Stegostoma tigrinum: one gene and its partner. The protein of the gene in region 2 interacts with the protein of the main gene of each other region in a pairwise test. Links are inferred from orthologs where the notes say so. Each region holds a gene or a part of one and is shown on either strand. Other genes may lie near its edges.

Evidence for each region.
Region 1: the proteins of serum response factor-like (region 2) and ETS domain-containing protein Elk-4-like interact in a two-hybrid assay, tested with the Homo sapiens proteins (2 studies listed by BioGRID and IntAct). The link is inferred for Stegostoma tigrinum from reciprocal best matches to the Homo sapiens genes SRF and ELK4.

The regions. Positions count from the first base shown.
Region 1 is NC_081374.1:6,979,037-6,994,933, reverse strand, and holds the start of ETS domain-containing protein Elk-4-like, read right to left. Parts: upstream 7,070-15,897; 5' UTR 6,444-7,069; intron 1-6,443. UniProt on the Homo sapiens protein: Involved in both transcriptional activation and repression. Interaction with SIRT7 leads to recruitment and stabilization of SIRT7 at promoters, followed by deacetylation of histone H3 at 'Lys-18' (H3K18Ac) and subsequent transcription repression.
Region 2 is NC_081357.1:7,492,777-7,508,524, forward strand, and holds the start of serum response factor-like, read right to left. Parts: upstream 6,988-15,748; 5' UTR 6,790-6,987; coding exon 6,268-6,789; intron 1,183-6,267; coding exon 916-1,182; intron 1-915. UniProt on the Homo sapiens protein: SRF is a transcription factor that binds to the serum response element (SRE), a short sequence of dyad symmetry located 300 bp to the 5' of the site of transcription initiation of some genes (such as FOS).

The DNA of each region.
Region 1 (15,897 bases), on a different chromosome or scaffold from region 2:
CAGAGTGCATAACCTCAAATTTCCCACATTGTATTCCATCTGCAACTTCTTTACCTACCCTCTAAGCCTGCCTAAGTCCTTCTGCAGTCTCCCTGCCTCCTCAACATTACCTGTCCTTCCACTGTGCATTATGATCATGAGTTGAAATTGCTGCTGATTCTCTAACCCAGGGAGTTATGAAGCCTCAAATGTTACTTTCAGTCATGGTCACACAGATAATAAACTGACAAGAGCGAGGTTCTGAGGAATGTACCTCCTACTACCACCTCTTTGCACCTTTAGCACTGGTGATGAACTTCAATCTTTCCAATTCAAGAACAAATTCCCAGCAAACATTGAATAAAAACACAAACTGATATACACATAAAAAGGGTTTTTTTCAGAAAAATTAAAGGTCATTTTTAATTTTAAAAATATTTATTTGACCTATATTAAGTGGGGGCGGCACGGTGGCTCAGAGGTTAGCACTGCAGCCTCACAGCACCAGTGACCCGGGTTCAATTCCGGCTTCGGGTGACTGTCTGTGCAGAGTTTGCACATTCTCCCCATGTCTGTGTGGGTTTCCTCTGGGTGCTCGGATTTCCTCCCACAATCCAAAGATGTGCAGGCTAGGTGGATTGGCTATGCTAAATTGCCTGTAGTACTCAGGGATGTGTGGGTTATAGGGGGATGGGTCTGGGTGGGATGCTTCAAGGGGCGGTGTGGACTTGATGGGCCGAAGGGCTGTTTCCACACTGTAGGGAATCTAATCCAATCCTGCCTAAGGCAAATTAGATCTATTGTCATGGAGTCATAGAGATGTACAGCAATGAAGCAGATGCTTTGGTCCAACTTGTCCATGCTGACCAGAAACCTTGAATTCATCCAGTCCCATTTGCCAGCATGTGGCCCATATCCCTCTAAACTTTTCCTATTCATATACCCATCCAGGAGCCTTTAAAATGCTGTAATTGTACCCACTTGCACCACTTCCTCAGGCAGCTCATTCCATAAATGCACCAGCCTTTGAGTGAAAAAGCTGCCCCGCAGGTATCACGTGTGAACTGCGTGTCCTGGAGCAGGGAGGGGAATGAGCCAATATAGCACTTGGGCTGTGAGCCCGGGGACACCGAGTGGGCCGTGAGCCCGGGGACACCGAGTGAAGAATCCCAAGTGCCGGAGCAGCGCAAGGGAGGTGAATCCCAGGAATGCGCAACTTACCTTGTTGTTGTTGAGTGCCAGTGAGGAGCGGACAGGAGGCTGGTGTGATGTGGGTCAGTTGTTGGACTTGGGCCTGGTGCCACATGCTGAGCTGCTGCTGTTTGATATTCTGACCAGGGTGTAATGTAAATCCTTACTGTTCAATCCTCTTTTGTATAACAACATTGTTTTTGACTCTGTAACATTTGTACCTAGCTACTTGTATCATTAAAAGGCAGCCATTGTAAAAACTTTTCTCTGTACTTCGATACTGGAGTACATGTGACTATAAACGATATTCTATTCTATTCTAAGTCTTTCCCTCTCACCTTAAATCTATGCCCTCTATTTTTGGACCCCCTGCACTGGTGAAAAGACCATGGCCATTCACACTATCCATGCCCCTCATAATTTTAGAAATCTTTATAATATCAACTCTCAGTGAATGGGTCATGTAGGCTGATATAAGAACAAAAACAAGTCATCCTGAAGGTTAATAGTAATGAATGTCCAACCTCTCGTTTACAGACTTGATAGAGTTGATTAATTCTGCACAGCTATCAGAAGTGCAAACCGTAGGTTACAGATTGCTGCTATTACACACAAACTATTCTCTTGGCACAATAGATGACAGAGTTCTGAGTGGTACATTTATGGTGGAATTTATCTCAACTTTCCCACTGCATTGTGCAATTGAGTGAGAGTGGGGAAAAGGACATCTGAAGAATGAAAATAGGATCAAGAAATGATAGGTTAAGATTAAGACACACAATTTAAGCACAAATCAGTCAGGAACTTGTAGCAAGGAATAGATGCTCTGTGAAATGCAAATCACCACAAATTATTGGTTAATTTGCACTGCTGAGCCATCAGCTTCATGTAAATAGCATCTCACTCTACCGCCCCGTGAGTTTCTTGAAGTTTGTTGCATGCGAACATTAATTACCCATCAAATACACCACAGAAATTTAAGTCTAGTAATTAAAAACACAAGTCCCCTTTTAAAAATGTGATAATTGTTAATTACTGCCAGCAAAACTCTCCTGCTCAGAAAGATAAATGATTGTAAATGTGGAGATTGATTCACCCAGGATTTGAATTTTCTGGGGAGTCTTTCAAAATGACCAATTTTAAAAGTAATTTTTCTAGGTTTTCTTTACAATTTCTTTTTTCTCTGTCTCTTAATCTAGTCATTTCTCCACCCCACCATCCCCACATCTTGATTTTACTTTGTGCAACTGATTAGGCAGGAATTCGTCTCAGTCTCAGTCTAAGCTCCTTACTTCTCAATTTTCCATCTAATTGATAAAGGAAATAGACCTCGGTATCATTGGGTCAACAGTCCCATAGCTTCCACCACACCGTTATATCCTCTCACTTCCAACAAATTTGTGGAGAATATATTTTAAAAAGTGAATGTAAGCAGGGTACATTCACTTACTGTGAGACAGCCTGCTCCAATAAAATCAAGGCCCTGATTCTGCATCAGTCCTGGCTATGGGTGGCACTCATGCCTTGAATCAAAAGGTTGTAGGTTCAAACATCACTCCTGAGACCTTGAACACAAAATTCGTGCCAGTGTCTAAGAAGTGCTACATAGACAGAAGCTGTCTCTCTGACGAAACCTTAAGTTGTCTTTTCAGTAACAGATCCCATACACTTTCTGAAGACTTATTCTGACCAATATTTATTCCTTGACTGCCATCACAAACAGATATTTTCTTATTTTTTTAATGGGGCCTTACTGCATGTAAATTGCTTGTCAAATTTCCTACATTACACAATGAAGACTATTTAGGCCATAAGACCATAAGAAATAAGAACAGGAGTAGGCCGTTCTGTGCCTTGAGCCTGCTCCGTCATACAATAGGGTCATGGCTGATCCAACATTCCTCACATCCACTTTCCTGCATTTTCCCTGTTATCCTGGATTCCCCATACTGATCAAAAATCTACGTATCCCACCCTTAAATATGCACAAGGAATACTCAGAAATGCTTTATTGGCTGCAAAATGTTTTGCGTCCTCCTGAGATTGTGAAAAGAGCAATATAAATGCTGCATTTAATTCTGGACTCCAGCAAGGTCTTGGTAAAATGCCTGTTGATCAGTATACTGCTGGCACAGAATAATGAGAATGGGTTACATAAACCTGATGTGTGCCCTGTTGTGATTAGAAACATGAGGGGCAATCTAAAGGAGGCATTTAATAATGTGCAAAGGTGTTGTGAGGCTAGATGCAGATCAGGCAGTTCCTCATGTGGAGAGTGTGGAATAATTTTGTACAGTTTTCAAACTAAATTCAGGAGTCAAATCAGAAAGGGATTCGCTCAAAGGGGAATGGTAATTTGGAACCATTCTTCGCCAAAAGGCTGTTGAGGCTGGAGCTCAGTTGAAACTCTCAAGACTGCAATTGTAAGGAGTGCATGACATAAGAATGTTAAGAAATATAGAGCAAAGTTGGATGAATGGAGTTGAGTTACAGATCAGCTGCATTCTGATTGAAGGATACTTGAATAGCACCCTTGTTTTCTTCATTCTTCCCTGGGTATCATTGGCAAACCTAGCATGTGTTACCCATCCCTAGAACTAATCAGCTTGTGAGGCCAACTGAGGGCAGTTAAGAGTCTGCAACGGTGAGATCAGGTAAGGATGGCAGATTTCCTATCATTTGTGAACTAGATGGGGTGTAATAACAATTGATTCTCATAGTCACCATTACCACAACTAACTTTACATTCCAGATTCAATAACTGAGTTCAACTAGCCACCATGGTGGGATTTAAACCAGTGATGCCAAAACATTTGCTTGGATTAGTAACCAGTGACAATGCCGCCACAAGGTGTGGAGCTGGACGAACACAGCAGGCCAAGCAGCATCTTAGGAGCAGGCAAGCTGACGTTTTGGGCCTCCAGCATCTGCAGTATCTCAGATTCTCCAGCATCTGCAGTTCCTTTTATCTCTGATACAATGCCACCACACTACCTCCTCATTCCTGCTCCTACACATTTCTTGTCCTTTACTCATTTTTCTATATTGTTGGTCTCACGCTTTCATGCTAGGAGAAAACCCACCTGCATACAAATACATTTTTGTTTGTGATAATTAACACCCTTGAATTCCATTCCTCTGATACTTTAACTGGATCTATGAACTATTTACAGTAATGTATCCTCCAAGACAGAGGAATGCCAGGAACACAGGCATTAGACTGACAGCTATGTGTAGGGCTCAATCAGATAATTAATCTTTTCAGAGTGGACTGCCTATTGCATTGACTAGCAGCATTGCCTACGACACCTGCAAACCTACCCATTCTCTAACGATAGCTCCAACTTCAGCGTCGCTGCTGTATAAATAACACAAGTTATTACTGTTAAAAATAATGAGTATGTGGGAGTGATTACTGTGAAGATAATTCAGCCTCCAGCTTTGCGCTCACTGTTTTCTGACAAGATTACTTTGCTTCACAGCCAGGCCATCAGTTCTCCTTGTTATTATTCAGGGACACGTGCTTCCTCCTTGTAGTAGTACCTGGTGCGCCCCCATGTCTTGATTCCATTTCAACCCACTAGGACAACAATGTGGCAACTGAACTGAACATTACCACCAGTGGATTCTGATCCACATGTGTATTTCAACCAAGCGTACAGACTGGGCGACCGTTTTGAGGCACACGTACATCCTGTCTTCAAAAATGATCCCAAGCTTCCAGCTGCCTACCACTTCACCACACCGCTGTGTTCTCTGACTAACATTTCTGTCTCAGGCCTCCTGCAGTGCAACCTGGAAGCACAGCATCTCATTTTCATCGAATCCCTAAGTGCAGAAACAGGCCATTCAGCCCAACAGTCTGCACCACCCCTCCGAAGAGCACCCCACCCATACCCATAACCCTATATTTCCCCATGTCTAATGTGCCCAACCTAAACATCCCCAGGAACTACAGGCAATTTAGCATGGCCAGTCCACCTAGCCTGCACATCTTTGGACTGTGGGAGGAAACCAGAGCACCCAGAGGAAACCCCTACAGACACAGGGAGAATGCGTAAACTCTGCACAGACAGCGGCCCAAGGCTGGAATCAGACCCAGATCCCTGGCGCTGTGAGGCAGCAGTGCGAACCACTGAGCCACCGTGTCGTACCTTTTCTACTTAACAACCTTGCAGCTTTCAGAATTTGTTACCAAGTTCAATAACTTTAGGGCCTGAAAAGCATCATTTACATCCTATGCCCACCTCCACACTCCTGGCCCCGTCCTGACATTCCCTTGTGCCACAGTCACGTGCCCCTCTACAACTGTAGTGCCATGGGCGAGTGCTGCATCGTCTCCCGGAATGAAATGTTAAACCAAGGCTCTACCTTCCTGCTCCTCCAGGTGATACGCTTTTGAAGAAATTTCGGAGTTCTCCCTGGTGCCCTGGCCGTTATTTCCCTCTCAATATCACATAAACAGATTGTCTGGCCACAGTTGCATTGTTATTTGAGGGAGGGTTCAATACTGACTTACAGTTCTCGCATTGAAAGAGAGTTAATTCTGTGAGGTGCTTTGAAACACTTAATTGTGAAAGGCGCTATATAAATGCAAGCAAGCGCTGCCTGGTGTGGAAGAAGCAACACTCCCTCCTTCTCTCCTGCCTTACAGACGTACACACGCTTCCCTGAGGATAAGCGATGTAGCGCCGGAACGTTGGTCCTCCTAATCCCTCGCCCAAGGCCAGCGAGGCAAACATCCACAACTCTTAACCCAAATTCTGACCAGTTTCTTCAAGGAAGCGAATCTCCCTCCGTGACAGCTGCCAACTGGAGAAGCAGATTTGTGGGGTCAGGGGAAAAAAATTTGATAAAAGCGATAAAATAAAGTGCAAGGCAAAATAATCGGGAGGTGCAACTCCAGGCCTAAACAAGGTCCAGTGAGAGTTTACATCACGGGGAGAAACAATCTCTAAATTCAAGTACAGCCCATCTGTTTAGGCAATTATATATAATGCCATTCCTAACCTTCAGCAATATGCTCAGTTTGTTTTTATCTTTTTCGCTTGATTTCTAATAGTCATTTGCCAAACCCTTTTAATTAACTCCCCACTTCACCACATAGACATGCAGTCGACAGCTGGACTCGAAATCGCTACATCCGCTAGCTCGATACATTGTAACCCAATGATTTTTTAAAAAAAATTTGTTACAAATTAACCAAGAACAAAGGAAATGAAACATTGTTGCAAAGACACAGTAAGATACAAACAGATACAAAAGATACTCACCCCCAACTCCAGTGTGCCAGGTCTCTCTGCGCGAATTCCGAGTTCGGCAGTTCCAGGGTGATCATGCTATTAACATTAAAACCGAATCAAAAGAATGCTGTTTTTGATAACGATAGAAATCCTTCTCCGGTCGCTTTACTGGGAGCTGGGAGGCTGAGGGGGAGAGCTGCAGTTCCTAACCGCCTTGTGAAGCGGCAGCTGCTGGCCTCGGCTCTCCCCGCCGATCAGTTTCATGTCTGTCAATTTCCTTCGCCTCCACCTCCTCCCCGTGTTAATATCACGGTGTCTCCTGTCACTTTAGGGGTCAGGGCTTTCTCCAGCGGAAGGTGGGGTGGGGTGGGGCTGGTGGTTGCTGGTGGGTGTTTCTCTGCCAGCCTGTGTGTGTGTGTGTGAGAGAGAGAGAGATCAGGACCTCCTCACGCCAGATTTTCTGTGACGCCCCCACCCCTTACAATCACAACTCCCTTCACGGTCTCCACCTCCTACGCACAACCCCACCCTCAGGAGGGAACTGTTTAACCCCTGACAGCTCTATCTCCCCTCCGTTTATAATCCTCTCCTCGTGTTGCCCCCACCGTGTGGCGATTTCTGTCTGCTTCTCCCCACCTCTACCACTCGCTTCGCTACCACCCCCTTCTTTCTCCAGATCGATTTCCTTTCGGTTCCTTTGGGAGCTGTCAGCTCAGCTGAGGATGTCCGCGGCGTCCTAAAGCGAGACACGTGGATGGTCGCAGTGCAATGGAACTGGTTGGGAATTTAGTAGCTGAGATGTCTACCCCACATATTGCTCCAAACAGAGGCGGTAGACCTAGACTTCTAACTAAAACTGGGGAAATCAGGGCTGACCCAACAAAGGCCTTTGTGAAGACATTTGATTGAAGAGAATTATTTTTAATCGTCACCTTTACGTGTGGCTGCCTGCGCAGTATTTATTGTCCATCTTCAATAAATCTTGAGAAGGTGGTGGAGAGCTGCCTTCTTGAACTACATGATCTGTTTGGTGTGGGATTACTCGCACTGTTGTTGGGGAGGTAGGGAGTGCCAGGATTTTGATTCAACTACACTGAAGGGACGTGATATATTTCCCAGTGAGGATGGTGAGTGGCTTGGAGGGGAACTTGGAGTGGTGGTGCTCCCATGTATCTGCTGACCTTGTCCTTCCAGATGGAAGTGGTAGTGGCTTTGGAAGGAGCTGTATGAGGATCTTTGGTGGTGAATTTCTGCAGCACATCTTGTAGATAGTACTCATTGTTGTTACTGAGCAACAGTGGTGAAGGGAGTGGATGTTGCTGGATGTGGTGCCAATCAAGTGGGTTGCTTTGTTTTGGATGGTATTGAGCTTCTTGAGTGTTGTTCAAGCTGCAACCATCCAGGCAAGTGGGCAGTATTTCATCAGCCTCCTGACTTGTGTCTTATGGACAGACTGTTGGAAGTCAGAAGGTGAGTTACTCACTGCCGGATTTCTTGCCTCTGACCTGCTCTGGTAACCAGAATGTTTATAGAGTAGATCTAGTTTAGCTTCTGGTCATTGGTAACTGCCAGGATGTTTATGGTGAGGAATTCAGTGATGCAAATGCCATTGTCTATCCAAACTCTCTCCTGGAAGGATATTATCGGAAAAGAAGCTGGGAAATTGCTGATGGAGAAAGAGCAGAGGATATATTAATTGTGCCTGATGGGCAAAAAATTGAGAAATGGAATATCATCTGGGAAATGTGAAGTTGTTCATTTTGGAAGATGAACAAAAGAACAGAATATTATTTAAATGGAGAAGAACTGCAGAAAGCTGCAACATAAAGGGACTCAGAAGGACTTATACATGGAATGTAGAAAGCTAGGACACAGGTGCAGCAGGTAATGAGGAAGGCGAATGGAATGTTGGCCCTTATCCCAAGGGGGTTACAGTACAAGAGTAGGGAAATCTTACTGCTACTGTACAAGGTGCTGGTGAGACCATGTCTGGCGTACTGGAGCAGTTTTGGTCCCCTTCTTTAAGGAAATATATCACTTCATTGGACGCAGCTCACAGAAGGTTCACAAAGATGAACCCTGACATGGAGGGCCAAAAGAACTGCGGATGACCGGTCACCAGACCTGAAATATTAACTCCATTTTCTCCTCCACAAATGCTGCCAGACCTGCTGGGCTTTTCCAGCAACTTTGTTTTTGTTGCTGACATGCAGGGATTGTCTTATGAGCAAAGGCTAAACAGATTAGAACTCTACTGGCTGGAGTTTCGAAGAACGAGAGATAATTTAATTGAAATATATAGGATCCTTAAGTGGCTTGACAGGGTAAATGCGGAGAGGATTCTTTCCCCTCCTGGAAGAGCACGGGACCAGGGAGCATAGTGCCTAGAAGGTTGTGAGTCTTTGGAACTCCTTACCAGAGAGAACTGTGGGGACAGAGAAGCAGAGAATGATAGATTCTTGATCAAAGGAGAATATATGTGTAATGGGGTAAGGGCAGGAAAGTGGATGTGAGGAATGTTGGATCAACTGTGATCCTATTGAATGGTGGAGCATACTTGAGGGGGGCTGAATGGCCTACTCCTATTCTTATTTCTTATACCCTTTTGATTTATGGTGACAACATCATGGACAAGGTGGGCTGAATGGCCTGTTACTGTAAACCATCACTCAGAGAGGGCCATCAAACAACCTAAGGAATGTTGACACAGAATGGCACCACAATGTCTGTGGCTATCAGAGTGATCCTTTCCTTCTGCAAGAGCTACGCATTGCAGATCATTTTGTAACAGGGACAGGGCATTGGCTGAAGATGGGGTGGCAGAAGATTTAGAGACTGGAAATCTGCATGAAATCTGTGATCTCGGAATATAGCTCAAGTTTTCTCAGTGCCAGCCATACAGCATGTTTTTACGTCAGAATCAGAAAGTTGTAAATTCAAGTGTCACTACAAGGCACAACATTCAAGACACACTGCGGGAACTCAATAAGGCACACTTAGACAGCCTCTTCCAAACCCATGACCATTTATATCTACAGGGAAATGACAGCAGATACATGGGAAAGCCACCAACTGCAAGTTCCACTCCAACCCACTCACCATCCTTCACTGTCACCTGCTCAAAATCCTGGAATTCCCTCCCTAAGAGCATTTCGGGTTTATTTACAGCATGTGGACTGCAACGGTTCAGGGAGGCAGCTCACCACCACTTACTGAACAGCAACCAGGGATGGGCAATGAATGTTGGCCCAGCCAGTGATGCCCATGTCCCATGTGCGAATGAGAAAAGTTGAGCACAATAATTAAGGTAACAAAGTGTGGAGCTGGGTGAATACAGCAGGCCAAGCAGCATCTTAGGAGCCCAGTTTCAGGCCTAGTTCCTTCATCAGAAAAGGGGTATGGGGAGAGGGTTCTGAAATAAATAGGGAGAGAAGGAGAAGTGGATCAAAGGTGGATAGAGGAGAAGATAGTTGGAGAGGAGATAGACAAGTTTAGGGTGCGAGGATGGAGCCTGTAGAGGTGAGTATAGGTGGGGAGGGAGAGGGTGGATAGGTCAATCAGGGAGGACGGACAGGTCAAAGGGTCGGGATGAGGTTAGGAGTAGGAAATGGAGGTGCAGCTTGAGGTGGAGGAGGGGATAGGTGAGAGGAAGAACAGGTTGGGGAGGCGGGGACGAGCTGGGCTGGTTTTGGGATGCAGTGGGGAGAGGGGAGATTTTGAAGCTTGTGAAATCCATGTTGATATCCGGCCACAAGAATTAAGGTGACGGGATACAGCACTGGAGGGCAGATAGATTTCTGAAGACACTATATTTTGGATAACATGTTAAAGCAAGGTCCTTGTGATAAGCGCTATTCAATAGCCTGGTAAATGTTTATCAGGTAACATCATTAAGATGCATCACATGGTCATAATCACATTGCAGTTTGTGGCAACTTGGCGTGTACAATCTCCACTCCTCCATTATAATATAATAAAATGTGAGGCTGGATGAACACAGCAGGCCCAGCAGCATCTCAGGAGCACAAAAGCTGACGTTTCGGGCCTAGACCCTTCATCAGAGAGGGGGATGGGGAGAGGGAACTGGAATAAATAGGGAGAGAGGGGGAGGCGGACCGAAGATGGAGAGAAAAGAAGATAGGTGGAGAGGAGAGTATAGGTGGGGAGGTAGGGAGGGGATAGGTCAGTCCAGGGAAGACGGACAGGTCAAGGAGGTGGGATGAGGTTAGTAGGTAGGAGATGGAGGTGCGGCTTGGGGTGGGAGGAAGGGATGGGTGAGAGGAAGAACCGGTTAGGGAGGCAGAGACAGGTTGGACTGGTTTTGGGATGCAGTCCACTCCTCCATTTCCTGCATTATAGCAATGTCTACTCTTCAAAATAATCTCATGGCTGGAAAGGGGTTTATATTGATATGAGATGATTAAAAATGCTAGATGAATGTAATTCTTCTTCTCCATCTTTATACCATTGGTTGATGGTCCAAGAGGGTTCATCATCACTTTCTCAGTATAACTGTAGTGTGGACAATAATTGCCACAGACACACACATCCTGGACAAAGGCTTTCAGCCCAAAACATTGACTTTCCTGCTCCTCTGATGCTGTCTGACCTGCTGTGCTTTTCCAGCTTCATATGTATTGACTGTGGATGCAGGAAGGATGTTCCCAATGGTGGGATAGTCCATAAACAGAGGTTATGGGGTAAACCTTTTAGGACTGAGATGAGGAGAAATTTCTTCACTCAGAGTGATGAGCCTATGGAATTCGCCACTACAGAAAATAGTTCAGGCCAAAACATTGAATATTTTCAAGAAGGAGTTATATATAGCTTTTGTTGCTAAAGGGTTAAAAGGAAATGGGAGTAGGGTCGGGTCACTTTATTGAGCTCAATGATCAGTTTGTTTATAATGAATGGCAGAGTCAGTTCGAGGGATCGAATGGTCTATTCCTGCTCTTACCTTCTATGTTTCTATTCTCATTCGGCCCTTACCGATATGTTTATTCCTGAGGGGAAGTATGGAAAGTAAAATCTCATAGGGCAGGTTGTGTCACTCAGAGGACATTATCTCATGGGCTTAACATTGGGATCTGCTGGTTTTAAAAACAGTGACACAGACTGGAAAACTGTCAGCCATTCACTCTCCGTTGAGGTTCTTTCAATGCTATTTTTAGGAGGTGGGTACATTTGGCAATTATTGTCCACCCCGCAGTTACACTGAGAAAGTCATGATGAACCCTCTTGGATCATCGCCTAATGGGACAAAGATGGGGAGGAAGAATTGTATTTATATAGCATTTTTAATCACCTTGGACCATCATAAACTCCTTTCCAACTGTAGAAGTATTTTGAAGAGTAGTCACTGTCGTAATGCATGAAATGCAGCGCTGCAGATTGTGTGCTCCAAGTTCCCACAAACTGCTATCTGACCTGCTGTGCTTTTCCAACTCTATGTTTATTGACTTGAGCTGCTCCTTACTGTCTCCTTCCTGCATCTACCCTGTCCAGTCCTGTTAGAATTTTATAAGTTTCTATGTGATGCTGCCTCATTCTTCTCAACTCCAATGGATAAGATCCTAACTGATTCAGTCTCTCCTGGCATGTCAGTCCTGCCATCCCAGGAATCAATTTGATAAACCTTTGCTGCACTCCCTCTGCAGCAAGAACATCCTTCCTCAGCTAAGGAGACCAAGACCGCACACAATATTCCACGTGTGGCCTGAACAATGCCCTCTTATAATTGCAGCAAGACATCCTTGTTCTTGTACTTGAATCCTCTCACTATGTAGGCCAACATACAGTTTGGTTTCTTTACTGCCTGACACATTTGCATACTTACTATCAACAACTTTCAGCATTGGTTACGTTGCAAATTGTGCTGCCATGAGTTATTGTGAAGCCATGTGATGATATCATGTATGAATGTTGCAAATGTAGCTACAATGGTTGTGTGACTGATTAAACCACCTTTTTTTTACGCTAGCAGTATCTATACTACTAATGATCACATGATAATGGTTTTGTAGGCTATGGTTAGCTCATTGGTGATTGAGTCCTTCTTTATTTGGGAGGAACTGTGGAGGCAGGTGTACCAGCTAGTAGAACTTCCACTGATGTGTGAGTCAGATTGTCCTGTGTAGTTATGTTCTTCTAAACTCATTCACGCCCTCGGTAAAGCACCAGATTTTATGGGCAGGATGTTTGATAACCAACTGGAACCTGCTTCTACATCCTGGAGCTGTCTACAAAATGCATCCAGATAGCACATTCCTCTCTGTAACTCAGGAAGAGTGTCAGTTTAACATTGCAGGGGAACCAGCCAATCACCTGGGGCACCAGATTTTAAGAGGCAGAAGTCAGGAAGAGAATTTTTAAAGATAAAATTTAATTTAAAGGGATTTAAATTTAATATGAAACTTAAGGGGAGGCAATGGCCTAGTGGTGTTATTGCTGGACTGTTAATCCAGAGACCCAGGTAATGGTGTGGGGACCCAGGTTTGAAAATCACCACAGCAGATGGTGGAATCTGAGTTCAATAAATTATCTGGAATTAAGAATGTAATGATGACTGTGAGTCAATTGTTGGGGAAAAACTCATCAGGCTCACTAATGCTCTTTAGGGAAGAAAACTGCCATCCTTACCTGGTCTGGCCTACACATGACTCCAGACCCACAACAAACTTTGAACTGCCCTCTAGGCATTTAGGGATGGGCAATAAAAGCTGCCTAGCCAGTCACATCCTCATCCTGTTGATGAATAAAGGAAAGTTTAATTTTAGACTTCTCAATTTTTTCTGAGTGGGCATCAAAGTCATAGTTGTCAAGGGTACCAAGAACGCTACAGTTGTCCCTGCCCAGGTGTATCACCCACTATCTCTGTCACCCTAACCACTACTGGAGAGGCCAGAGCCTGAAGAAATAGTGGTGCCATGTTTCGGTGAAGCCTCGTAGAGAGGGTGCCCGGGAAAGAAGGGAAGTGATTTTCCTTGTTGGATAGCAACAAGAGGCTATTGTAACTGTCCAATGCAGCCTGGTTTCTGTGGTGATGAATGCTCAAGAGAACCTAGCTTCAGTGCTGAAAGAGAATGATTGTTCTGCTACACTCTGTCAGGGTATGCACACTATCTGCTCTATGTTTCATGCGGATATCAGTTACTGTGGTAAGGTTGGCACAGCTGAGGATATTCACACAGGAGCTTCAGCGCCAGGCATCAGATACTGCACATTGCAAATGTCTGTCACTTTCTTGCAGTTCTCAATGTAGCAATACTGGCGCAAATGTGGTACTGTCTCCCATGCATTGACGATTCACATTCAAAACATAGAAGAGTGATGACACTCAGCAGCTCACACATCAAGAGGTCATTGACTTTCCATCACAACAAGAGGAACATATTGATGTGAGAGCTTTGTGCCAAAACCTGTATGAAACAAGGCCACAACAACAAAACATTATCTTGTAAGTTGAGTCGACCTTTGAGCTCAGTCTTGCCTGCCCTTCCCAGTCAAGTGTACTGGCATCAGCCAATGGGACTGCCTCATGTGGGCAGAATTGTTGGCACAGTCAGGATTCACCCTTTAACACAGTAAGCATTTAACAACAACAAGCCAGACTGAGACTTCTCATGAATTGATCAACATGGGGAGGCTTCAGCTTTAACACTGTAAGCATTTATGCAAAGGAACACTGTAATTATGAGAGAGCCAAGTCACCGAGTACATTTGCACACATTGGAGCTTGCAAGGAGAAGCCTATCTATCAACACCCTCACCCATGCTGGCACCTCTACACTACTGGGTTTATAAACACACCCATTTCACATTCTTGGCAATCAACTTTAAGCCTGAGAACATACTGCCAGGGACTGGAGTATTACTGAATATTCATGATAATAAATGTAAAACCGGCTCCGGGCCAGTTTACCTAGCTGAAAGGTTTTAAGAACGTTGTACCCCACCTCTAAGAAACTGGATTTTGCCTCCAGCTCAATCAAGACCCCGTGCCTCCCTCGCCTCTTTCTTAAAGCTCTGGGTAAGCCCTGCGTTACTCACCGTTAACTTAGTGATGATGGGACTGGTGACAGTCATCGGTGTCTGTGATTGGTTCAGCTTTGTTGCTCTTGCTGTTGCTTCCTTAGATGCTACATCTACTATTGTAGTGATAGGATTAGGGTTAGGGTTAGGGTTAATTGCTAAATGTTCAAACTGATCTCATAAGAGAAATTCACAAGCTCAAGAACACTGAATAATACATGCGTTTAAATCTACAATGCCTGTTGGACTTGGGACAGTACTGTTTTCATGCTGTATGACTCTGTGACACTACCATGTGTAAACATTATATTTTGGCTTCAGAATTAAGATTTCATGTTGAACATTGTGAGAGAAGAGTAGCACAGTGGCTCAGCGGTTAGCACTGCAGCCTCACTGTGCCAGGGACCTGGGTTCAATTCCATCCCTGGGGGACTGCCTGTGTGGAGTTTGCACATTCTCCCCGGGTCTGTGTGGGTTTCCTTCAGGTGCTCTGGTTTCCTCCCACAGTCCAAACATGTGCGGATTAGGTGGATTGGCCATGCTAAATTGCCCATAGTGCTCAGGGATGTGTAAATTAGGGGGATGGTTCTGGATGGGATGCTCTGAGGGTTGGTATGGACTTGTTGGACTGAAGGGCCTGTTTTCACACTGTAGGGATTCTATGGACATGCTTTCTCAGTAATAGACCTATTTGTAGGTCAAGGATGACGAGGAACAGGTAACAAATGTTGGCCTTGCCAGTGACACCCATATCCTTGAAAGAATAAATTTTAAAATGTGTTTTTCTTCCTCCAGTTTCCCGAGGATCCATCTCCACCTGCATTGTCCCATAACAACAGAAGCCTTTTTCATCCAAATTACTCATGTTTGCATTAACCAACTACCCCTTGGCCATTTTATGGAGATTGCACAGCCAGATGGGAGGACAGTTTCTGTGGCTGAATGGTAAATTACTCTGCAGAGGCTGGTATCCCATCATCAAGCCATCCTTTATTTGAGTCCTTGACATTGATCCAGTTCCCTCAGAGCCAGCTCTCACAATGAACAGGAAGTCTCCGGTCTGCTGTGTTCATCTAGCTCTACACTTTGTTATCTAGGAAGTATGACACTCCTGTTCTTGGCTATCAACCGATGCTCCTTGATTGGACCAGATTAACAGCCCAGTAAGAGAACTCATATTCTCTAAGGTCTAACAAAGTGTGGAGCTAGATGAACACAACAGGCCAAGCAGCATCAGAGGAGCAGGAGGGCTGATGTTTCAGGCCTAAGCAGGTCAGTGTGATTTAATGGGAAGTTGATAGTGGGCTTTGAGCCTTTTCATGAAGTAGCATTCTGGACCTATGTATCAGTCAATCCAACAAAGTGACTGAAAATTCATCCTTGCTATATTAACAAAACACATGTCATTCTTAAATACAGGCCCAGATTTATATCTATTGGACCTGCCACTCAA
Region 2 (15,748 bases):
TCAAAAGGCCTTTCTTAAAATAGGAACTAAAACAGAAGTTGCTGGAAAGCTCAGCAGGTCTGACAGCATCTGTGAAGAAAGAAAATCAGTTACCTTTTCGGGTCTGATGACCCTTCCTCAGAACACAAACTAAATTGGTGAATGCAGCCAGAGCATTGCAATTCATGAATCCAATGTGAAAGCATTTATCTTGGCACTGAGTGGTGGTACAAGATAATTAGCCTATAATTCTAAATGTCATGTTACCCCCAGCTCACTGACATTCACAGCTGTTGATCATACAAATCTTGTAAGTATTTTCTATCACAGCGTAAATTCAAACACAGTGAAAGTTATGTTCTAGCACAGCCCAACGAAATGAGAGTAAAAGCTGCTGTCCTGTTACCAGTTCCTCTTCGCTTTGCCCACTCCACACAGTATGCTCAATCACCAACTAGCCCATAGACTCAAGCATGTAGCTGAGATGTCAGAAGACCAAAGGGAGTAATTAGCATCAGCCTGTTCTTTTAACTCGCTCTGTAAAGCCCAGCAATGTTCTCACTTCCAATGAGAAAGTCTGCATCTTAAAAAAGAAATTCTCTGATTACATCACCATCGACCGACAGCATGAGCCCACATTATGACATGAAGCATACCTTCCCTAAAACTGTTGGAAACCGTTTAGGTCCAGGATCAAACCAAGGCCCTCTGGAAGTTTGAAACATCTGGTGGACTCTAACCACAGTCACCTTTGCCAGCCTACCAACAGACAAAACAACTCTGAAGACTAAGACATCGTTAATCTCTCTAATATTGCTTGCTGGCCTTTTCCTCATCATTGCTATTACTACACCACATTCTTTGAACATTATAGGGACCACTCACTGCATGACCACTTGTTATTCTTCTTACCATAAAAGCAGTTTTGGTTTTTACCTTATTTTCCCCGCTGCTGTCCGTCTCCGAAACCTGATACGTCAGATCAGTTTCTTCAAATCCTGTGGCACTCATCCTCTGATCCGTAGTGGGATCGGAACGTGGTGGGGAATCAGGGGAATTTAAACACGTCTGGATTAATGCCTTCCCTGTCTCACTGGTGATCATAGGCTGCAGTTTTCTTGTAGCGAAGGTATACACGTGTCCTGTCTCACTAGCTACCAGGAGAAGCACTTGGGTACCCGTTAGTGTGGAGAGCTCATAGGCCTGATAATAACAAGACAAGGAGACAACAAAGCAACATTTCATCATTCAATCACACAATGAATCTCAACTACTGAAAAATCTACTCCAATAAAGAACTAGATAATACAACATGGTGATGAAAAATCTCAAAAACAAGAGACAAGCACCTGGGATCCATGTAAAATAAAAGGGCATTTAGGGCACGATGTACAAGGCAACATGGTTTTACAAATGGGCAATAACATCTGTCAAATTTAGAGACTTTTGGGAATGTAACTAGCTAGGTAAATAAGGGGAAACCAGTAGAAGTAGTGCAGGTAGATTTCTGAAAAATACGACAAAGTACACAAGTTCAATATAGAAGATAAGCAATTATGAATTTGAAGACAATATATTAGAACTGATGGAGGGCTGATTAACAGACAAAAAGCAAACAAGGATATATGGAGCATTTTCAAGTTGTCAGGTTATGGCTAGTGGACTTCCTCAGTGCTTGGCCTCAGCTATTTACAATCTATGTGAATGGCTTGAATGAAGAGATATAATAAGCTGTGAGAAGGAAACCAAGGCAGCAAAGGTGGGGACTCGGTGAGCGAGTGGACAACAATGTGATAGATGGAGCAAAGAATGGAGAAGGCCAAGGTATTTCACTTTGGCGAAAAGGTGGGAAACTTGCAAAGATACACCTAGGTACACCTGTACAAGGAATGCAGATGGATTGCATGTATCACAAGCAATTAGAAAGGCAAACAGCAGGCTGTTTCATTGCACAGGCATTACATCACATATTGTTCTAATATTCAAGCACATAAAATCAATTGTGGGTTTCTGCCAATTACGACCCAACAGGCCAATTCTCCACCCACAGACCCTTGTGCACGTCCACGAGACGGTGTGATGTAAATATATGATGGAGAGCAGGATTTGCTTTTTTCTTTCCTTCTCTGCTGCCCCTCTGCCTCATCGTTTGAGCCCATACCCTCTTCACGATGATGCAACTGCCATTTAGAACAATGGGTAGCACCTTCTTCCCACTCAGGAATGTCAATCTTAAGGAGACCTGAAATGAGCCATCTGAGGGTCAGAAAAATAGGACATGGTAGGCAAAACATGTTTCAAAAATCTAGACAATGTTCAGTCTATCAGAATTGATCATGTAGGAGTTAAACCTGAATATTACATCAAGGATGACAAGATTTGTTTGATGGTCTGCCCACAGAATATGGTGGAGGCACTGCTGGTGCAATTTCTCTCAGCCTTTTATGTGTAACTGAAAATGTCCAGGTCTCAATGCAGTACAGTAACACTGCAAATAACTGCTGGAGTTCTGTGTTATTAAAGGCTAAAATTTGTAAAAAAAAACTAAGCTGGTGCCATTAGTAGTGATATTTAGAGAGAAGTAGCAGAAATGCACAACATACTCCAGAGTCTCTCCTACAACAAAAATGAGCCAGAATATTTGAGCAACCAGGGCGGATTGACAAGTTTTGATTTGGCAACACAGATCAAGTCTATTGCATATAGAGCTGAAGAGATTTTCAGCAACTTGAAAATCTGGTGCAGAGTGGGCAATAACACTGCAATCATTTGTCTACAATGGTCAATTTCATTTTGATAGAGGCAACTGGCGCAACAACAATTTTCACTAGATGGCATTTAATGGTCACACCAGAGCACAGTGCACACAGGGATACCCATTTCCTTCACACTAGCAAGTCTATTCTCAGTCTGCTCCCAGCAACACCCCTGATTCAATGTACACTGTCCCAAAGTTATCCACAATATTCCAGAAAACAAATCTATTCTCAGAACACCCCTTGCATTAGACTTCCTTGAGAATATCAGACAAGATGACCGCCACATCTACTGGTTCTATTATTTAAGAAAGGGAAAAGCCAGAGAACTACAGGCCAGTGAACCTAATGTCAGTTACGTTGTTGGAGGAGATTCTGAGGGACAGGATTTACATGTATTTGAAGAAGCAGAGGCAAAGACTGATCAGGGATAGTGAAACATCTGTAGTTCTTGCCATCTCTTAGGGATAGTCAACATGGCTCTGTGCATGGGACATCGTATTTTACTAATTTGACAGCTGTTTTGCAGAAGTGACGAAGAAGATTGAAGAAAGCAAAGCAGGAGATATATGTATGCACTTCAGTAAAGAATCCAAAGTTCCACATGGTAAACTAGTTAGTAAGGTTAGATCATGTAGAATACAGGGAGATTTGGATACATAACTGGCTTGAAGGTAGGAGATAGAGGGTTGGTGATGGAGAGGTGCTTTTCAGACTGAAGGCCTGTGCCCAGCAGCACACTGCAAGGATCAGTGTTGGGTCCGCTGTTTTTTTTGTCATCTGTATAAATGGTTTGGATGTGAGCACAGGAGGAATGGTTAGTAAGTTTGCAGGTGAGAAAATTGCTGATGTAGTGGACAGCAAAGAAGGATACATCAGTACAATGGGACCTTGCTCAGATGGGCCAGTGGGCTGAGGAGTGGCAGATGGGTTTAATTTAGATAAATGGGAAATGCTGCATTTTGATAGGGCAGTTCAGAACATGACATCACACTTAACGGTGAGGTCCTGGGCAGTGTCACCAAACAAAGAGGCCTTGGATGTGGGTTCATAGTTCCTTCAAAGTAGAATTCCAGGTGGACAGGATTAGTGAAGGCGACAACTTGATATTCTTGCCTTTGTTGGTCAGTGCACTGAGTATAAGAGTAGGGAGGTCACGTTGTGGCTGTACAGGACATTGGTTAGGCCAGTTTTGGAATACTGCATTCAGTTCTGGTCTCCTTGCTAGAGAAAAAATGTTGTGAAATGAAGAATAGTCAAGGTCTTTTGATCAGGGTGAGGGAGTCCAAAACTAGAGGGCATAGGTTTAAGGTGAGGGAAAGGATTTAAATGGGACAACTGTTTCACACTCAAGGTGGTGCGTGTATGGAATGAGCTGCCAAGGGAAGTGATGGAGGCTGGTACAATTACAACATGTAAAAGGCATCTGGATGGGTATATGAATAGGAAGGGTTGACAGGGAAATGGGCCAAATGCCAGCAAATGGGACTAAATTTATTTCTGATTTCTGGTCAGCCTGGACGAGTTGAACCGAATTGTCTGCAAATGCTGCACAAGTCTATGACTTTACTTGTGCCAGTGTTTCAGCAGCTAAGGTAATTTTAACTCCTTCTGTCTTTTTAAAAAAAAAACTTGCCTTCCCAGCCAGCCTAAAGCAGTGTTTATTCATCATCACCAAGAATGCACCATATTAGAATATTATCTGGAAGACTATGATGTGATATCTATGATATCTAAAACCAATTAAGTTTCCACCTTCTGAATCACTCAAGGTTAGAAACTTGGGAGCACATTTCAAACAGACTTCTCTACTCTCGGATTCACAATTAGATTGTTTGAACTACATTCCCAGCAGTACAGTGCTTAAAGAGCTAAGCTCTTCAAGATCACTGCTCCTGCGACAAGGGAGTTTACTCTAACGTTATAGTCACGGCTTTTCTTCAAAACATGAGATGCTGGTCTGGTCCCTTAAAAAGGAGTACTGTTTCAACATATATCCATCTGTACAATAAGCCCACCTGTCTCTCCATCAGGTAGCTCTGTATACATCTACAAGACCACTGTCATCATACAGAATCATAGCAACATTACCTCCCACTGTCCACACTAATACTACTGTTGCTACATACAATCATGTGTTACCTTCCACTGTGCAGACCACACCAGTCACCATAGAAAACACAATGTGGTACAGTGCTTGTATCAAAACCATTGTCACTCTATAGAATGACAGCAACACACTACGTTGTCTATGGTCACAGTGGTGTGGGTATAAAGGACCACAGAAAGACAAATTCCTGTAGTGTCTGTAACACTGTAGCTATATAGAACCAGGGCTTTTATTTCCACTGACCCTATGTAGTATCAGCTGCAGAACGACCTCCCCAATGATATCTCCAATCTCCCTTCAGCCCTAGCTCCACCTTCCACTCTTTTCCTTACCCTCCCCAACCCGCTCTCTCCTGCAGTCACACCTTCAACTCCTTTCTCCTCTTTCAGCACCACTTTCCCTTCCCAGTCTCCTCTCCCTCATCAGCTCACACTACCACATCTAACCACCCACATTCCCACTAAGATTACGGCAGCTATCCAATGGGCCATTACTAAGGATCATTTGTTTACTTTACCTCAACCCCCCCCCAACCAAAAGAACCCTTGCACATTGTTTAAACAGATACATCTTCTTGAATGCCTTAACCGTCTTCACAACACTTCAACGGTTCAGTGCAGACCCAAACCATACACAGACACACAGTTTTGCTCCGAGCACATTTATTTTTCTGCAGACCACTGAAAATCTCTCCCTGGAACAAGAGTCACTCTTCTCCCCGCACCACCCTCACCCTGCCCCACCCCTACCTGTGGCAGGGAGCCACTCCTCTCCCCCCAAACCAGGCAAGGAGTCACTCCTTGCCCTCTCCTCTCTCTCTGCCACTCCATTTCCCTGTTCCACCTCTCTGGGACGGGAGTCGCTCTCCCCACCTCCACCCCACCCCACCCCCTCTCCCTCACCTCTCTGGGACGGGAATCGCTCTCCCCACCTCCACCCCACCCCACCCCCTCTCCCTCACCTCTCTGGGACAGGAATCGCTCTCCCCACCTCCACCCCACCCCACCCCCTCACCCTCACCTCTCTGGGACAGGAATCACTCTCCCCACCTCCACCCCACCCACCCCGTCTCTGGGACAAGAGTCAGAGTCACTCTCTCCTTCTCCACTCAAACCTGCCCCCATCTGGGACAAGAGTCAGAGTCACTCTCTCCTTCTCCACTCAAACCTGCCCCCCTCTGGGACAAGAGTCAGAGTCACTCTCTCCTTCTCCACTCAAACCTGCCCCCCTCTGGGACAAGAGTCAGAGTCACTCTCTCCTTCTCCACTCAAACCTGACCCCTCTGGGACAGAAGTCACTCTCCCCTCCTCCACTCAAACCCAACCCCACCACCGTACTCTCTGGGACGGGAGTCACTCTCCCTACCTCCACTCAGAACGTGACCCCCGCACTCTCCAGGACAGGAGTCACTCTTAGACTCACCTTCTTCATGATGCCAGTCTTCCTCTTGCTGAAGGTCGTGTATCTCCTCAGTTTGTTATCGATAAATTCCATTTTAATTTTCACTCTGCCCCTAGTTTTCTTGCCAGGCTTTAGTCCGGCTCCTGGTGCAGTCCCTCCTGGGGCCGACGCTGCCCCATAGCCTCCAGCCGGCGCTAAGCTCCCCGGACCAGGCTCTAGCCCCGGGCCGTGTCCGCTCACCCCTGCCAGGCCCGCCGCAGCCGCTGCTTCCAGGTCGGACAGGCGCCTTTTGACCCCCCGCCTGTCAAGCGGAGCCGGGGCCGAGGCGACCACCAGCTCCTCGTCCTCGTCGCTGCTGGGTTCCGAGCAGCTGTAAGGGGGCCCAGGCAGCGGGGCTTCTCTGTCCCGGGACACCAGCACGGCAGCGGCTGCTGCCTGGGGGCCCGGGCCCGGGGCCGGGGCCGCTGGCTGCAGGCTGCCCGCCGGTGATGACGACGAGCTGTTGGGCTCAGGAGGAGCGGTGCCGGCCGGACTCTGCAGCATGGCCCCCGGGAGCGGGGGAGAAAGAGTGACCCCTGCCCCGGTCTAGTCCCTAAATCTCAGTCAGAGCCGATCTCTCCTTGTTATCTTTCGGGGCCACTTGTCCCGGTCTCACCCAGGTCTTTTCCAATCTATCGCCGCTCTTAGTCCGGTTCTGCTCTTGGAATAATCCCAATCCGTCCTAGTCCTTTACCCGGTCTATCCCCCCCACCCCCCAAAGTGCACCCCCGTCTATCACCCCCCCCCGACCCCCCCCCCCCGGTCTGTCCCTCCACACCCAGTCTGTTCCCGGTCTCTTCTCCGTTTCCCCCCCCCCCCTGCGACTCCCAGTCTAACGCCGGGGACACTGTCTACAATGTGGAAGCCAGAGACACCGGGAAAGGAAACCTCAGCCGCATTACTCTCAACCACACTACACTACACATTAAAATAGTGCCAGGCTAAGTGCCCCCTCTCCTCAGCCAGACCCTCCCTGACCCGTCCGGAAAATACCTTTCGCCTCCCTCCCACCTAGGCCCTGGGCAGTAGCGTCCTCGGAATCCGCAGAATCCACTACTCTTAGGGGCTGAGGCGTGCAGGCGGAGAGCAGTGATACGGCCTATACCCGGCACTATTTCCACCATATAAAGACACAATGTTTCCTTTTATGGCGCGGCCGCTCCTTATTTGGTGAGTCACCGCTCAGCTCGCTGATTGGTCCAGAGCCGAGGCCCCAACCCCCACCCGGAATAATCCACATACCAGAGAGACCAGGGCCAGAGACAGTGGACAGGACAGAGAGAGGGGACAAACTCAGACACAGTGGACTGGACAGAAATGCCACGGCCAGATGTGTTAGTGTGGACAGACAGGAGAAAATGGACAAGACAGAATGGATGGGAGTGCACAGACACAGAGGACAGAATGAATTGGAGAAAATGCTCCCAGCCCACAAGACAGGTTAGAGTATGCTGAACAAGCTGACCACAGTGTTCATCATGTTCAGTCTGGGGAAGATTATAGCTACCTCAATCTGAATCCTGAAGTGAAAAAGTTTTTACAGCACAAAAAGAGGCCACTCAGCCCGGTGTGTCCCAACCAATCTTTTCTATCCCCTCCCCTGTCTGCTTTCCGGAGAGACCACTCTCTCCGTGACTCCCTTGTTCGCTCCACACTGCCCTCCAACCCCACCACACCCGGCACCTTCCCCTGCAACCGCAGGAAATGCTACACTTGTCCCCACACCTCCTCCCTCACCCCCATCCCAGGCCCCAAGATGACATTCCACATTAAGCAGAGGTTCACCTGCACATCTGCCAATGTGGTATACTGCATCCACTGTACCCGGTGCGGCTTCCTCTACATTGGGGAAACCAAGCGGAAGCTTGGGGACCGCTTTGCAGAACACCTCCGCTCAGTTCGCAACAAACAACTGCACCTCCCAGTCGCAAACCATTTCCACTCCCCCTCCCATTCTCTTGATGACATGTCCATCATGGGCCTCCTGCACTGCCACAATGATGCCACCCGAAGGTTGCAGGAACAGCAACTCATATTCCGCCTGGGAACCCTGCAGCCATATGGTATCAATGTGGACTTCACCAGTTTCAAAATCTCCCCTTCCCCTACTGCATCCCTAAACCAGCCCAGTGCATCCCCTCCCCCCACTGCACCACACAACCAGCCCAGCTCTTCCCCCCTACCCACTGCATCCCAAAACCAGTCCAACCTGTCTCTGCCTCCCTAACCGGTTCTTCCTCTCACCCATCCCTTCCTCCCACCCCAAGCCGCACCCCCAGCTACCTACTAACCTCATCCCACCTCCTTGACCTGTCCGTCTTCCCTGGACTGACCTATCCCCTCCCTACCTCCCCACCTACACCCTCTCCACCTATCTTCTTTACTCTCCATCTTCGGTCCGCCTCCCCCTCTCTCCCTATTTATTCCAGTTCCCTCCCCCCATCCCCCTCTCTGATGAAGGGTCTAGGCCCGAAACGTCAGCTTTTGTGCTCCTGAGATGCTGCTTGGCCTGCTGTGTTCATCCAGCCTCACATTTTATTATCTTGGAATCTCCAGCATCTGCAGTTCCCATTATCTCCAATCTTTTCTATTCCCATTTTCTAATGCTTGATAGGACAGAGGCCAGTCCACAGAACTGTCCGGAACAGATTGATCAATGTCGAGCCCAGACAGAACATTATACATAGCTATGGCATTTCAAATGCTCATCTAAATACTTATGAAATCTCTTGAGGGTTTCTGCTTCTGCCAACCTCTTAGGTAATGAGTTCCAGATAACCGCAACCATCTAGGGGCAAATGAATTTCCTCCAAACCCATTTAAACCTGTTGCCCCTTAAAAACTGTGCCCTTGGTTATTGACCCCTCGACTTAGGGATAAGGTTCCTCCCCATGTACTATTTATTACTGTAAGAACTTTGTACACCTTAAGCAGAAGCCCCTTCAGCCTTCTCTGTCCAAAGGAAAACAGTCCTAGACTGTCTAGCCTCTCTTCATAGCTGAATCATTCCAGCCCAAGCAGCATCCTAGTGAATCTCCTCTGCATTTTCTTTTTTGCAGTAATTCCTTCCCATTGGGTAGTGACCAGAACTGCACACAGTCCTTCAGCTATGGCATAATCAATGTTATCCACAACTCATTCACAACCTTCTTGCTCCACTAATAAAGGCAAGTCTCCTATATGCTGCCTTAAGCAGCTTATCCATCTGCCCTCCAGCCTTCAAGAATCTAAATGATGATGCAAATTAACATCCTTCTGATCCCCTGTACTTCCTACAGTGCTATCTTTCAAACGGTACTCCTTTGTCTTGATGGTCCTTCCAAAACACATCACCTCACACTTCTGGATTAAAATCCATTTGCTACTGTTCAATCCATCTGATCAACCCCTTTATATCCCCCTGTAATCTAAGGCTTTCTTTCTTGCTATCTACCACACCAACCTTTTTCATTTTACCTCCAAACGTACACAAACATATGTTGATCATTAATGTACGCGACAAAGCAGCAGTGAACTCGGTGGTACACAACTGAACACAGGCTTCCAGTGACACAAACACAGTTCTTCATTATCATTTGCTTCCTGCCAGGAAGCCAATTTTGTATCTAATTTGACAAAGTGCCCTAGATTCTATGGGTTCTTACCTTCTTAACTAGTCTGCCATCCAAGACCTTGTCAAAAGCCTTGCTAATGTACATATAGACACCATCAACTGCACAATCATCATCTACACATCTAGCCACCTCCTTGAAAAACTCAAATATAATCTGTCAGAACCATCAGCCTTCCTGCTCCTCGAAAACTGCTTGGCCTGCTGTGTTCATCCAGTTCTACGCCTTGTATATCTCAGACCTCATTGCGCCCGAGCAAAATCACTGCGGATAGAACAAAGAAAATTACAGCACAGGAACAGGCCCTTCAGCCCTCCAAGCCTGCACTGACTAAGATCCTCTGTCTAACCTGTCATCTATTTTCTCAGGGTCTGTGTCCATCTGCTCCCTGCCCATCCATGTACCTGTCCAGATATATCTTAAAAGACGTTAACGTGTCTGCGTCTACCACCTCCACTGGCAACGCGTTCCAGGCACCCACCACCCTCTGCGTAAAGAACTTTCCACGCATATCTCCCCTAAACTTTCCTCCTCTCACTTTGAACTCATGACTCCTAGTAATTGAGTCCCCCACTCTGGGAAAAAGCTTTTTGCTATCCACCCTGTCTATACCCCTCATGATTTTGTAAACCTCAATCAGGTCCCCCCCTCAATCTCTATCTTTCTAATGTAAGTAATTCTAATCTACTCAACCTCTCTTCATAGCTAGCACCCTCCATACCAGGCAACATCCTGGTGAACCTCCTCTGCACCCTCTCCAAAGCATCCTTTTGGTAATGTGGCGACCAGAACTGTACACAGTACTCCAATGTGGCCGAACCAAAGTCCTATACAACTGCAACATGACCTGCCAACTCTTGTACTCAACACCCTGTCCGATGAAGGAAAGCATGCCATATGCCTTCTTGACCACCCTATTGACCTGCGTTGCCACCTTCAGGGAACAATGGACCTGAACATCCAGATCTCTCTGTTCATCAATTTTCCCTGGGACTTTTCCATTTACTGTATAGTTCGCCCTTGAAATTGTTCTTCCAAAATGCATCACCTTGCATTTGCCCAGATTGAACTCCATCTGCCATTTATCTGCCCAACTCTCCAATCTATCTATATTCTGCTGTAATCTCTGACAGTCCCCTTCACTATCAGATACTCCAATCTTCGTGCCATCTGCAAACTTGCTGATCAGACCACCTGCACCTTCCTCCAAATTATTTGCATGTATCACAAACAACAGTGGTCCCAGCACAGATTCCTGTGGAACACCACTTGTCACAGGTCTCCAATTTAAGAAACTCCCTTCTACTCGTACTCTGTCTCCTGTTGCCCAGCCAGTTTTTTTTAAATCCATCTAGCTAGTACACCCTGGACCCCATGTGACTTCACTTTCTCCATCAGCCTACCATGGGGAACCTTATCAAACGCCTTACTGAAGTCCACTTTCCTGCCCCCTAAACCCTCTTAATGCTAATTATTTAATTATTACAGTGCCCTCCCTGATTTCTACATCTACACCTTGCTTGTCTGCAGTGAATACAGATGTAAAGTACTTATTTGAAACCTCAGCTGTGTCTTCCGGCTTCACACACACATTCTCATTTTGGTCCGTAACAGGCTCTACTCTTAACATTACTTTTTACTTGCCCTTAACATAAAATGCTATTAGATTTTCCTTCATGTTAGCCACCAGTGTTTTCTCATGGCCCCTCTTTGCTCTCCTAATTTCTTTTTGAGCAACCCCCTGCACTTTCTGTAGTCCTTGAGGGCATCTTTGTAACATTTGAGCCCTCCGTATTTACCATAAGCCTCTTTTTTTCTCCCTGATACTATCCTGTACGTCCCTTGATATCTAGGGTTCTCCAGACATGTTGGTCCCATGATTCACCCTGCATCCTCATTAATACCATTATGAATATCTCCCACTTTTCTGATGTGGCTTTTCCTTCCAATCCACTTTGGCCAGATCCTGTCTTATCATATTCAAATCAGCCCTCCCTCAATTAGGAACGAAGGAACAGTAGTAGATCATTCAGCTCCTCAAGCCTCTTCCACCATTCAGTTGTAGATCTCGGGCCCATATCCATTAATACCTTTGCTTAAAACTTATCTATCACAATCTCAGATTTAAAATTAACCACTGATCCAACATCCACTGCTGTTTTGGAAGTAATTCCAAATATCTACCGCCTGCTGTGTGTAGACCATGGGTTTCCACCTTAGTTAACAATCTCTTCGATGGGATTTTATCAAATGCCCTCCAAAAGTCCATGGAAACAAAATTCCATCATTCCCCTGTCCACTACTTTCGTCACAACTCCAAAAAAAAAGCAGAATCTTTATTTCCAGTTCATCTTTGTCCTTGTCCATAATTATCCTGACATTTACTGATTTGTGGTCATTATCACCAAAGGCTCTCCATTGCTACATCTACCACTTGCCTGGCTTCATTCCCTAATATTAAAGTCCAGCACCACCACTCTCTTGTAGGATTTTCTAAATTTTGGCTTTCTAAAGGAAGAAAACGCTCTTCTGGACCTATTTTAAGAATTCTGCCCTCACTTTGTCTACTCTAGGTAATATTAGGGAAACTGAAGTCTCCTACTATTTATCCTATTATTTTTTAAAACTTCCTCAGGATTTGTTTACATGCCTTTTTCTCTTTCCAAAACATAGTATATGTCTAGCAAAGTGATTGCCTCCTATTTGTTTTACCCATATGAATTAATCTGACGAACCTTCGAAGATACATAGCCAAAAGGGGTTTTCACACAGGGTCCCATTGCCTAATACAAAGAGATGTCAAGGTGTGTTGGCTTTGAGTATCTTTGGAAGGCAGTAGAAGCTCCCTACGTGGGATGAGAATACATAGGGTACTCTGAAGGACTGGATCAAAAGTCTTGACCAGTCTGTTCAGTTGACAGGTGTGTTCTTTGGTTGGATCAGCAGATAGTTGTCCATAGTGTTCCTGGTTGCTCAGCCTCCGGTACACTTCCTTGTAGTAGTCCGTTCTATTCCGTATGACGATGGATCCTCTTTTGTCCATTGGTTTGATGATAATATTGCGATTGATCTTAAGAGTACAGATGCCATTGCATTGTGCCCTGTTGATGTTTTGCACTGCCTCTGACTGCGGCTAATAAATCTGGAATTCACACATTCTCTGATGGCTTCAGCATACTTGTCAAGCCAAGGCAATGACCCTCCTGAGGCGTCCAATTTGACTCCTCCTTTGCTCGCTCCTCCATGGATCTCTGTCGACTGATCCAGTTCATTGATTGTCTCATTGGAGTAACTGCTGACATCTTGGAAGAATTCCTGGCATCTCATTCATCTGATGAATACTTCTGTGCCTGCCATGAGACCAATGGGGTTCATTTCAGTGGGCGGGCAGATACTGAGTTCTTGGCTGAGAACCTCAATCTCGTCTGGTTGAAGGCTGTGGTCTGATAAGCTGACAATAGATTTTTCCATGGTGGCACCCATTTCAACTGTACCCCCTTCAACTGTACCACCAACTTGGTTGTTGCTGGTGTGATGCCAGGTTTCTCCGGTCTCTTGTTCTTGCTGTGCATGTAGGTGGTGTGGTTCCATTGCCTCGTCTGTTTGGCAGTGTCTCGTGACTGTACAGCTGTATCTCAAGCACAAGCTGAGAAAATGGACTGTATCTCAATTTCAAGGCTAGCCGTAGAGTTGGTACACCACATGATCGAGGAGTTTGAGAGAGGTGCAATGGCAAAGTCTCTCAGTGTTGTAGGTCAACCCGAGTGGGTTTGTGATCGGTAGTCTGTTTGGAATTTTTTGTGCTTTCTTGCATTTCTGTAGAAACTTGATGTCTGTGTCGATATGCATAATATTCTTGAATATCCTCTCCAGCTTGAACAAGCAGTTGGTGGTTTTGTGATAGCCATGATGTGGAGGTGCTGGTGTTCGAATGGGGTGGACAAGGTCAGAAATCACATGACACCAGCTTATAGTCTAACAGGTTTATTTGAAAGCACAAGCTTTCACAGCATAGCTGCGTCAGCAGGTGAAATGACAAAGAAATTCTGTTCTGTGTGCCTCTAAGTAACAGATCTAAAGGTCACACCATGGATGAGGATGTATCAAACAAACCTAAGATGCTGTTGAATCTTTAATCAGTTAGAAAGTTTTAAATGAGTAATATGCATATGTACATCATCAAATTCCTTTCAAGTCACTAAGTTTTTATAAAGAAATCTTACCTTCCCGGCTGTGCCCCGCCCCACCCCGGCTCGCGCACTCACTGCTCCCGCTGCTGAATTGGAGGAGCATAAATTGAGCACAGATGTTCTCGGGGAAATACACAACAGAAATCTGGTGGTTGTTCAGGGGACACATGCTACAGATACTGGATACGTTTGTCCCTTTGAGGCAAGGAAGGGATGGTAAGGTGAAGGAACCTTGGATGACAAGACACGTAGAACATCTAGTCAAGAGGAAGGAAGCTTACTTAAGATTGAGGAAGCAAGGATCGTACAGGCCTCTACAGGGTTACAAGGGAGCAGGAAGGAACTGAAAAATGGACTTACGTGAGTTAGAAGCAGGTAATGAAAACACTTTGGTGGGTAGGATTAAAGAAAACCCCATGATGTTCTATACTTATGTGAGGAACAAGAGGCCAAAAAGTGAGGGTAGGCTGATCATGGATAGTGGAGGGAACTTGCGTGCGAAGTTGTAAGAGGTACAGGAGGTCCTTAGTGAATACTTTGCTTCAGTATTCATCAGTGAAAGGGGCCTTGACGCTTGTGAGGACAGTGTGAAACAGGCTGATATGCTGGAACAGGTTGACGTTCAGAAGGAGGATGTGTTAGAAATTTTGAAAAACATGACAGATAAGTCCCCTGGGCCAGATGGGATATGCCCAACGTTACTATGGAAAGCAAGAGAAAAGATTGCTGCCCCTTTGGCGATGATCTTTGCATCCTCACTGTACACTGGAGTAGTACCAGATGATTGGAGGGTGACAAATGTTATTCCCTTGTTTAAGAACTGGAATAGGGATAATCCTGGGAATTACAGACCAGTCAGTCTTAGTTCTGTGGTGGGCAAATTATTGGCAAGGATTCTGACAGATAGCATTTATGATTATTTGGAAAAGCACAGTTTGATTGGAAATAGTCAGCATGGCTTTGTGAGGGGCAGCTCATGCCTCACAAGCCTTATTGAATTCTTTGAGGATGTGACAAAACACACTGATGAAGGTCAAACAGTGGATGTGGTATATATGGATTTTAGTGAGGCATTTGATAAGGTTCCCCATTCAGAAAGTATGGGATTCAGGGAAATTTGGCTATCTGGATATAGAATTGGCTGTCCAATAGAAGACAGAATGTGGTAGGAGATGGAAAGTATTCAGCCTGGAGTGTATGTTTCCTCTAGTTTGGTCCGTTTAATAATGATGAAGATGTCAACATAGTGTATCCATAGTTTTGATTAGATGAGCAGAAGGGCCATGCTTTGAAGTCTCTCCATTACCACTTCAGCTGTTAGTCCAGAGATAGGTGATCCCATCGGTGTCCAGTTGATCTGTTCATATATTTGGCTGTTAAAGGTGAAGTGGGCGGTGATGCACAGGTCCAGTAGCTTCAGCATGTTGTCTGTGGAGATGGTGTCACTAAGATCTTGTTCTTGTTTTAGTAGTGTTACCAGTGTTTCTGTTGCTCATGTATGTCTCTCGATGTGAATAGGGCAGTAACGTTAAACAATACCACAAGCTCGTTGTCATCTACTCCTATGTCCTTGATTGAATTGAGGAACTCCTGGGCTGAGTAAATTGAGTGGGGTGACTTGCTGACAAGGTGTTTTAGACTCCTTTGTAGTTCCTTGGCTAA